Linked DNA regions of Ovis aries. The protein of the gene in region 2 interacts with the protein of the main gene of each other region in a pairwise test. Links are inferred from orthologs where the notes say so. Each region holds a gene or a part of one and is shown on either strand. Other genes may lie near its edges. The genes, in order: CD151 and GRAMD1C.

Region 1 (4,562 bases), on a different chromosome or scaffold from region 2:
GGGTGTCCGTGTCCCTATGTGTATGTGTACGTCTCCTGCACGCTCATGTCCAGCTCACTGCACGTGTGTCCCTGCACGTCCACGTCCTCGGGTGGCCTGTCCCAGCCCTCACCTGCTGGTAGTAGACGTAGGCCAGGACCCCCGCAATGATCTCCAGCAGAAAGATGATAAGGAGCAGGCCGAAGTACTGGGGGGAGGAGCAGGGGCTCAGTCAGGTGGGCTGGGACACAGATGCCCCCATTCCATGAGGACGCCCAGCACCAGGCATGGCAGAGCAGAGCCACTGCCCTCAGCTGCCAAGTGGCCACACGATGGGGGCCCCCGGCAGCAGGTGAGGGCTGGAGGACCCCGGCCTCCCAGTGCTCCTCAGCCGTCTTCCCTCTGCTGGCCCAGCCGGGATACGGGGACCCACAGGTGGGCAGGGAGCCCCTCCCAGGTGAGCACAGCAGAGTCTGTCTGTCCTGCAGTCTCACCCATGTCTCCCTTCTAAGCCCTCCTAACCCAGAACCACCCCAGGCAGCCTGGCAGGGAGCCCCACCCCCACCCGCGGTGCGGCCAGCCCCGCTGACCAGACGCAGCAGGTTCCTCCGCTCCTTGAAGGTGGCACAGCAGCCCAGCGCCCCGGTCACCATGACGACAACGCCCGCCACCACCAGGATGTAGGCTGTGGCCAGGTAGGTGCCCGAGGCCAGCAGGCTGATGTAGTCGCTCTTGAGGGCCAGCGTCCAGATGCCCACGGCCATGACGGCCAGGCCAGCCAGCTGCGGGCAGTGCACACCGGTCACCACACCCGGCCCCGGGCCTGGACCCCTGGCCAGGCTCCTCCGAGGTCGGGGAAGGGGGTGCCCACTGCTCACCCAGAAGCAGCAGTTGAAGGTGAAGAGCAGGTACTTGAGGCAGACGGTGCCACATGCTGCCGACTTCTCCCCAAACTCACCCATCCTGGGGCCGGGAGGTGGGGGAGGGGCTGCCCGGGAGGACGGCCAAACGCCAGCGGGGAGAGGAGCGGGGGACACACGTCCAGACCAGGTTGGGGCCAAGCCAACCCCCTGCCTGGGTGAAGGTTCTGGGAGCGCCTGTGGGGGAGGGCTGCTCGGAAGCCCCCGCCACCACTGCGGCAAGGGCAGACATGGTGCCCACAGCCCAACTGGAGCCTGGGGGGCCCGGCTCCCCTGACCAGCGCCCAGGGCATGGCGGGGGAGGCATGGAGGACCCCCAGCCACCACCACGGGCTGACTCAGCCCTGCAGGCAGCTCAGGTGAGCTCACACAGGCCCCTCACCCCACCCCACCCCAAACATTCCCTGTGCCCCACGTCACAGGTTGGCAGGATCCTACCGGCTGCTGGGGGGGCAGGGGCGGCAGAAGCTGCTCAAAGGTAGACTGATCTGTGCTTTTCTAGCTTAGTCCTGTGGCCTTGGAGAAGGCCCTCAGGCCTCATAAAGGGCCGGCCTGCCTTCCTTCCAGCCAGAGCTGGCAGGCGCCACCCCCAGACCTGGGGGTCCCTCCTGAATGGGGATAGCCACGCTGACCCAGGGGGAAATGAAGCTCCAGCCTGTGCCCCTCCCCAGAGCCACCCCACCCTCTCGTTTCTGGGTGTCTGCATGAGCGGGGTGGGGACACAGAGGGCAGAGGAGCCCTGGGGCCCTGTTTCCAGACAGACAGGGTGCCTCCCGGAGCCGGACTCCTAGCTGCTGCCCTAGCACTCACCTGGCTGGTGGGAGGGCTCCTCTGTAGGGCAGGCAGGCAGAAGTTCCCACCTGAGGAGGCTTCACTAGAGGGCCAGGGACAGGCCACAGGTCAGGCTCAACCTGGATGGGCAGGATCCCACCATCCCTCCTTGTAGCTGACCCAGGTACTGGCCGCGAGCTGGCCTTCCAAAGCCCCGCCCCCCGCGCTCGGAGAAGGGAGCGGCCAGGCCCGGTGTTTTGGCCTCGGCTAGGGCGGGGCAGGGCAGAAGACATTTCTGGACAGTCCGATTCCGGGGGGAACCGCACGCCTCCTCCAAGCCCCCTAGTCTGAGCCTTGGCACCTGGCCTGTAACTGGCCCTTCCCCCACCAAGCGGCAGTAGCTGCTGCTGGGGAAGAAGAAACGGTGCAGAACGCCCCGCGCCGGCGGACCTGGGCCTGTCCTGGGGTCTGGGTCCGGGGAAGGCTGTTTCCAGGCACAGGCTCCACCCGCACGGCCCGCCCTCGGGCGAGAAAGGCTGAGGAGCCGGCCGCCTTTCCGGGAGTGCCCGGAGGAGGTGAGCCCCCAGGGAAGGGCCGGCCAGAAATAGTTCCCGCGGCCCTGGACGCTGCCGCCCCGCCCCCGGCTCCCGAAGCCCAGCCGGGCCTGTCAGCGGCCCACGCCCCAAGGTGGGGGGACTCCCAGCTCGGCTCCCGGCAGGCCGGTGAGGAATTCGCGCGTCACCGCGATGAAGTCACCGCCGCCGCCACCCCCACGCCCTGGCGGGGCGCGCGGCCCGCCCACTGGCACCGGCGGAGAGGAGGGCACCGGTGTTCGCGCAGTGCGTGGGGTGCTCGGGAGGAGCCCCCGGCTCGAGGGGGCCGCAAGGACCGTCCGGAGACCAGGGAGGCACCTTGCCCTCGCCCGGCGGACCCTCGGCCCGCCGGGCCTCCGGGCACTCGTCTACCCCCGGTGGGAGCCTGCGGGGTCGCCGGGCGCGCAGCTTCTCCCGGTCGTCGGTGCCCGGCGGTGCACTCACCGGCCACGCGTCGGAGTCCGGCGGGCGGCGGGGGCGGCGGCGGCGGCTCGGAGGGCACAGAAGACACAGCCGGCCCGGGCCTGCGAGCGAGACGCGCGGGGCCGCCCCGGGCCCCGCCCCGAGCCCGCAGGCCCCGCCCCGGCCGGCGACGCAGGCGGGTCCCGACGGCGCTCGGCGCGCGCGGGCGGGGCACCAGCCCCGGCGGCCGCCTGGGGGCCACGCGAGGAGGCCGAGGCCAGGCGGGCTGCGGCCCGAGGGCGCCCGCTCGGGACGAGCGGCGGGGCGGGGCTGCGGGGGTCCCCGGGACAGACGCGGGCCGGCCCGGGGGACGGCCTAGAGGCGCGGTCAGGGGCAGAGAGGGGCCTCTCTGGGCGCCCTGCGGAGGACGGCTTGCAGGGGAGGCTCGGGTCACGGCGTGAGAGGGTCCAGACAGGAGGGTGTCGCCTGGGAGTGGTGGGAAAAGGTTCGGGAACGAGGGCAGAGGCTGCGACCGGCTGCGCTGGGGAGCTAGAGCCGAGCGCCCGACGGCTCGAGGCGGCGCCGTCGGTGGGGACAGCTCTCCCGGGACGGTGGGCCGCCCTCGTCCCCTGCTCCCTGCCCGAGGCTCGGGCTGGCAGGGCAGAGGGCACTGGCGACAGCTCAGGCCCACCCCTGGTGCCTCCACTCAGGACTCCAGTGGGCTGAACTAGCCCCCCCAGGGCTGTGTGAGGACTGGCATGGGGAGGGGTGGAGGCTGGGGGCGGTCAGGGAAGCCCGCCCACCGCTTCCTGGCCTACTGGCCTCAGTGCCTTGGTCCCTACAACTCTGGCGGACGGCTTGTGGACATGTCCAGTGGACACACAAGGGCGAGGGACGCCTGGTCCAAATGCTACGGCTCCCACACGCCAAGGAGGATGAAGTCAGTGAACTTTATTCAGAGGAAGGGGTTTTCCGGTAGTTTCGATGCGCTGGGCATAGAATGAGGACCGCAGCGAGAGACATGAGTCCCTGACCCCCCAGGTTAGTTCCTTCATGTCTGCAAGTCAGGCAGGCCGGGCAGCTCACTGGGGAGAGCCCACATCCTGGATAGGCAGCCCCCGGCGACGCCGAGTCGCCTTCAAGGGGCGGCTTCTCTGAGCAGCCAGGTGAGGCCCAGTGAGTCACTCGGGCTAGTCAGCGGCCACTGGGCAGGTGGCCGGAGCCGCGTCTGGGGGGGCGAGCCCAGCTACTGCAACAGCAGCAGCAGGGGGCGCCCAGCAGGGGGGCGGAGCTCAGAGCCTTCCTGCGGCCGCTGCCCAGCCGCTGGGCCTCACAGACGTCCCTCTCGTCTCGGAGCCGCGTGTTCAGCTCCCTGGGGAATAGCAGCCCACAGGCTCTGAGGGGTCTCAAGAGGAGGCACGCCTGGGTGGGGAACGCGGGCACGGAAGGGCTTCCTCGCGGTGTGGGGGGGCGGTGATGGGGGCTGGGTAGAAACCGGCGGCGCGGACCCCTTCCAGACGCACCTGAGGAGCTCCAGTTGCCGCAGGAGGCTGAGCTTCTCTTTCTGCATGTTCCTCGAGACCGCGACCACGTCTCTGCAGGACGGAGGTGGTGATCCGGGTGCAGGAAGGCGCCTCGGGGTGCCGCACGGCCCCCTGGAGGACCCCCCCCCCCGCCCCGCCACGGAGACCCCAGAGGCGGGGCTGCAGCCGGGGGCGACTGCAGCCCGGAGCTCCAGGTGCGCCCCTCCCCGGGGCCCGCCCCCGAGGGTCCGGCCCACCCCCGGCACCGTTGGGCTTGCTCGCGGCGGCCCTGCGCCTCGCCCTCCAGTCTGCGGAGCTGCTCCTGCGCGCCCTCCAGTTGCGTCCGCAGCGCCTCGTTGGCCAGCCACAGCTGT
Region 2 (4,320 bases):
TTATGCTGTTATTTGCAGGTCAGTCCACCCTGAACAGGGCTCTCTCCCAAAAAGGATTCTGAGAGTTGTCAAAATTATAATATAACAGACACTCCCAGTAGTGCTACTTTCTCCCCCAAAGACACACACAAGCACATACACAGACACACAAAGAATCCTTCACTGCAGATCCTTTAGCAGCCTCTCTTCATGATTCCCGGAGTCTCTGAACCACTCATAATGCCTCTAAGTTGTCCACAGGTTTCTAATGCAACAAATTATCTCCTTACTCCTACACAATATATCATTTGAACAGCAACGACTGACAGCACACTGGACCCCTTGGAAGCAGAGGCTCTTAAGCTCTGAGCCTACCCTCCACACCCAGCTGCCCATCCTGGCAGCAGGACCTTGCGAGCCCAGCACAGCCACCAAGGTCTCCTTGTTGCAGGACAGAATCAAATCTGGGCCTTCCAACATATCCCACCTACGGGTGGGCATGGCCTCCCCTGTTCTCACTCCTTTGTCATTAGTCATGGGACAAGAAGAAGTCACCCCTCTCTCACACCCTTTGAATACCTGCAGACCAATTTGGATTCAACTGAGTGAAAAGCAGTAGGCGCTCGACACTTTAAACTCCTATTATTAGTCTGATGGACAAACCCGTTGTTTGGTGGACAGCATCAATACCCCTCCACATGCTGGAGCTCACTGGAGACCACTGCACTGAACTGCCCACAGTTATCTTAACCCTGAATGCTCTGGCCAACACCTGGCTTTATCTCCACATTTTTACAGACTCTGGGGCCATGCTTAACAGTGGCACCATTTGGAATAAAGACCTCTGGAACTCTCTTGTTTTCAGTACTCAAAATATAAACCAAGGTCACAAGTGTCAATACATATACTAAAGCCACAATAAAAGGCCTCACCAGAACACTCTTTATCCCCACCAAGAGTTCCAGACATTCCTAACAGTGGCCAAAGTACTCATTTTATTCCTCAAAATACACATGATTGGACTCCTGAACAAGGTATTCAATGGCACTTTTATTTTCCTTACTGACTTCTGTCTCTAGGCCTCATACAAGAGCCAGGATGGCTTACTTAAGTTCAAAATTCAACTAAGTGAAAAATGGTACATTTCAGTCATCAGTCAGACATCAAGTGTAAATTATAATGAGTCTCATTCAATTTTTTCATATTTGCCTGAAGACGGTTTTAAACCTTACCCCTCCTTCTTCCTCCCTGTCTCTCAAACGGGCAAGTTGGTTAAAAAAAAAGTCTGGGTGCCCTTTCATTTGGTGTGGATGCCAGAGTCAAACAAAGCAACAATCTGTGCACAGGCAGGAACCCTTGACCCCACCCCCTAACTGCCGCAAAAGCCCAGAACCAGCCTCATTCCCTTGTCCTTCCAAGTCACTTTGGATCTGCTTAAGAAGACTGTCCTGTTCTTCCCTCTTTGCTATGTACTGTACTTCACTAAGTAATAAGCCTTTATATATAAGTAATAAACCTCTTCATGGGGTGTGTGTGTGTGTGTGTGTGTGTGTGTGTGTTCATCAGTTTCCATCTCCAAATCAAATGTTCAGTAGGAGTCCATTCTGGCTTTACTGGCCACAAGATAATCTTCTCTCTCTAAGGAATCAGCTGCAAGGTCATTGGCAGTCAGTTAACCTAAGCTTCCCTGGTGGTTCGGATGGTAAAGAAACTGCCTGCAATGCAAGAGACCCCGGTTTGATCCCTGGGTCGGGAGGATCCCCTGGAGTAAGACACGGCAATCCACTCCAGTATTCTTGCCCGTGAAATCCCATGGACAGAGGAGCCTGGCCGGCTACAGTCCATGGGATCGCAGTTATTCGCTCACGACTGAACGACTAACACTTTCACTTTCACCCAACTTCTCTAAATCTGCTTTCTCCATTCTACAGTCGGGGCAACAACTCTCTGTAGTCTAGAGAATAAGCTCATTGAGAACAGGGATCATGTCTGTGTTGCTCACCATTTATGCCAAACACGCAGTGCCTGGAACATAGTTTAATGAATGACTGCTTGGGCTCATGAATATCTAACCTGGTCCATTTCACCGTAAGGTTCTGAGAATCAGTTGAAATACCAAGTCCACTCATTTATTCATCCAACAATTATTTGAATGCCTCTACCGTTTTGTAAACTGTAAAATGCTCTCGATTAAAAGGTATTATTGCCCTAACTACGATTCTCCTAAAGTAAAATACATACATACACACAACCAGCGTAAAAGCGGAGGACAGTGTTCAGAAATGCAAGTACTCCTGCAACAAAAGTGGGCTTTCACCCTTAAATTCGGCAAGTCCTTCCGTTAATCAGATAAGGCAGTAAACAAATAACCAAGGCAGTTGAAACTGAAAACGTGGTTCACACCACAGAGTGATTTAAACTATCTAGAGTTCTGAGCCCTTTAATCAAGAGCTGAGAGTTAAGGGAACGGCGTGAGGCTGGATCAACCTGATACCGGATCAGAATCACGACAGGGGGGCCTGAGGTTTGGACTAGGACATTTCAGGACCCAATGCCACACTCCACGCCCCCGAGAAGCCAGTCTTCCCCCCAGAAAAGCAGACCTCCCCCATTGCCCAGAAGGAAAGGCTCCGGGAAGCACAGGAAACCGTTTCCTCGGTGACAACTTTGCAAATTACTCCAATGAGCAACAAGAAAAAGAAAGGGAAAAAGAGGAAATAATGTTCAAAATCTGAGAGGGTTCTAACAACCTTCGCAAAGAGAACTGCCGGGTAAAGCCCTCGCTTGGGAGCTCGTCCCTGAACAGCGCCGCTTACCTGGCAGAGAGTCAGGACGCCTTCCATCGCGGATCCCTCCGCCGCCGAGTACCGCGCACGCGCGCCCCGCCGCGGGGACGAGGCGGCCAGGCGCGCGCCCCAAGCCCTCTCCCGGCGCGCGCTCTGGGATCCCGGCCCCGGGAGTCCCGTATGCCGGCTCTCCAAGGGGCACATTGGGTCTCCTCGGCGCGTCTGGCGCCCTCTGGAGGCCGCTCAGGACTCCCAGCCTCCACCCCAACCCCGTCCCTCAGGATGTACTGTTGTTGGGCTGCAGGCTGAGTCAACGTTTGGGTGTCTTGAGCGTGACGGTGGCGTAAACTCTGCCAAGCGTGGCTGAGAAACACCATAGCTGTGGTTTCTCTTCCACAAAAATACCCAAGAGGACTTCAAAGTGTGTTGACAGGTGCCCAGTAGGGACGCGTCAGAGACATTTGGAAGAAGATTCTAGTTGGCTTGGGAGAGATGACCTCTTCCAAACTGGTTTACCAACTCGTGTATGAGAATCAAGGGTTAACTCAGAAAGGTTTTTGGTGGCCACGCGCTCACGGGAACTGGATCTGGAGACGCTGTTTCTTTGGAGGCAAATCCATGCGAGGTCCAGGACACTGGACTGTCTGTTGCTGCGTGTCACTACCTCACTTCACAGTATGGACTCACTGTCATCTGTGAGTCACTGCAACTCAAGTGTGTCAGGGCAATTCACCGTTTTGTGACACTGAACACTTTATTCCATGAGAAAGCCTTACTTCAGAAGCATCCTAGTTCTGGAAATGAATGCAGTGTTTTGGACCCTCCCCCAGGGTCACTGTTGGTGGCAACCTCAAGGACAACTAAAGCCGGAAGTTGGTGGCTGCATTAAAGAAGAGATGTAATTTTTTTTAATGTTTGAATGGTTTATTTATTGCTTTCCAGGTGGTTACAGTGGTAAGGAATCCACCTGCCAAGCAGGAAACCAGGATTTGATCCCTGGGTTGGGAAGATCCCCTGGCGTAGGAAATAGCAACCCACTCCAGTATTCTTAACTGGGAAATCCCATGCATAGAGCAGCCTGGTGGGCTACAGTCCATGGGGTCACAAAGAGTCAGACAGGACTGAGCAACTAAGCATGCCTGTATTTCCTAGGAATCAGGATGAGTCCCTGTCCATACCTAGCTCTCAACCTCAAACGCCTGTGCCTGCTATGACGTGGCTTCTAGCACAAGTCACTTCTCCCAAAGCCTCCACTCTACTTCTTACCGTACATACCATGCTCCAGAGTGCAAAAAAGGGAATTGCGTGGCAAGGGCTTGTTCCTTCAAATCTTCGATAGAAGTTATTGATAAAAAGCTATTGACTGTTACAGATCCTAGTTCCAAAAAAGCTATAAAAGACATTTCTAGAACTCTAGAACAATTGAGAAATACTGAATACGAAATGTTTATTAGAGCTAGTGTTACAAAATAATGAAGGATGCAGATAAATTTATTGATATTTATTTATGGATAATTAATACTTTTGGTTATGTTGGAGAATATCTTTGTTAATG

What was found.
Region 1: the proteins of GRAMD1C (region 2) and CD151 interact in binary tests that used the Homo sapiens proteins (3 or more experiments, as listed by UniProt). The link is inferred for Ovis aries from reciprocal best matches to the Homo sapiens genes GRAMD1C and CD151.

What each region holds. Positions count from the first base shown.
Region 1 is NC_056074.1:46,921,719-46,926,280, forward strand, and holds the start of CD151 (CD151 antigen), read right to left. Parts: upstream 2,801-4,562; 5' UTR 2,708-2,800; intron 2,395-2,707; exon of another isoform or gene 2,121-2,394; intron 1,811-2,120; 5' UTR 1,710-1,810; intron 1,077-1,709; 5' UTR 942-1,076; coding exon 858-941; intron 762-857; coding exon 570-761; intron 188-569; coding exon 113-187; intron 1-112. Other genes in the region: CRACR2B (EF-hand calcium-binding domain-containing protein 4A), read right to left, coding at 3,996-4,260, 4,455-4,562. UniProt on the Homo sapiens protein: Structural component of specialized membrane microdomains known as tetraspanin-enriched microdomains (TERMs), which act as platforms for receptor clustering and signaling.
Region 2 is NC_056054.1:179,455,490-179,459,809, reverse strand, and holds the start of GRAMD1C (protein Aster-C), read right to left. Parts: upstream 2,849-4,320; 5' UTR 2,796-2,848; intron 1-2,795. UniProt on the Homo sapiens protein: Cholesterol transporter that mediates non-vesicular transport of cholesterol from the plasma membrane (PM) to the endoplasmic reticulum (ER).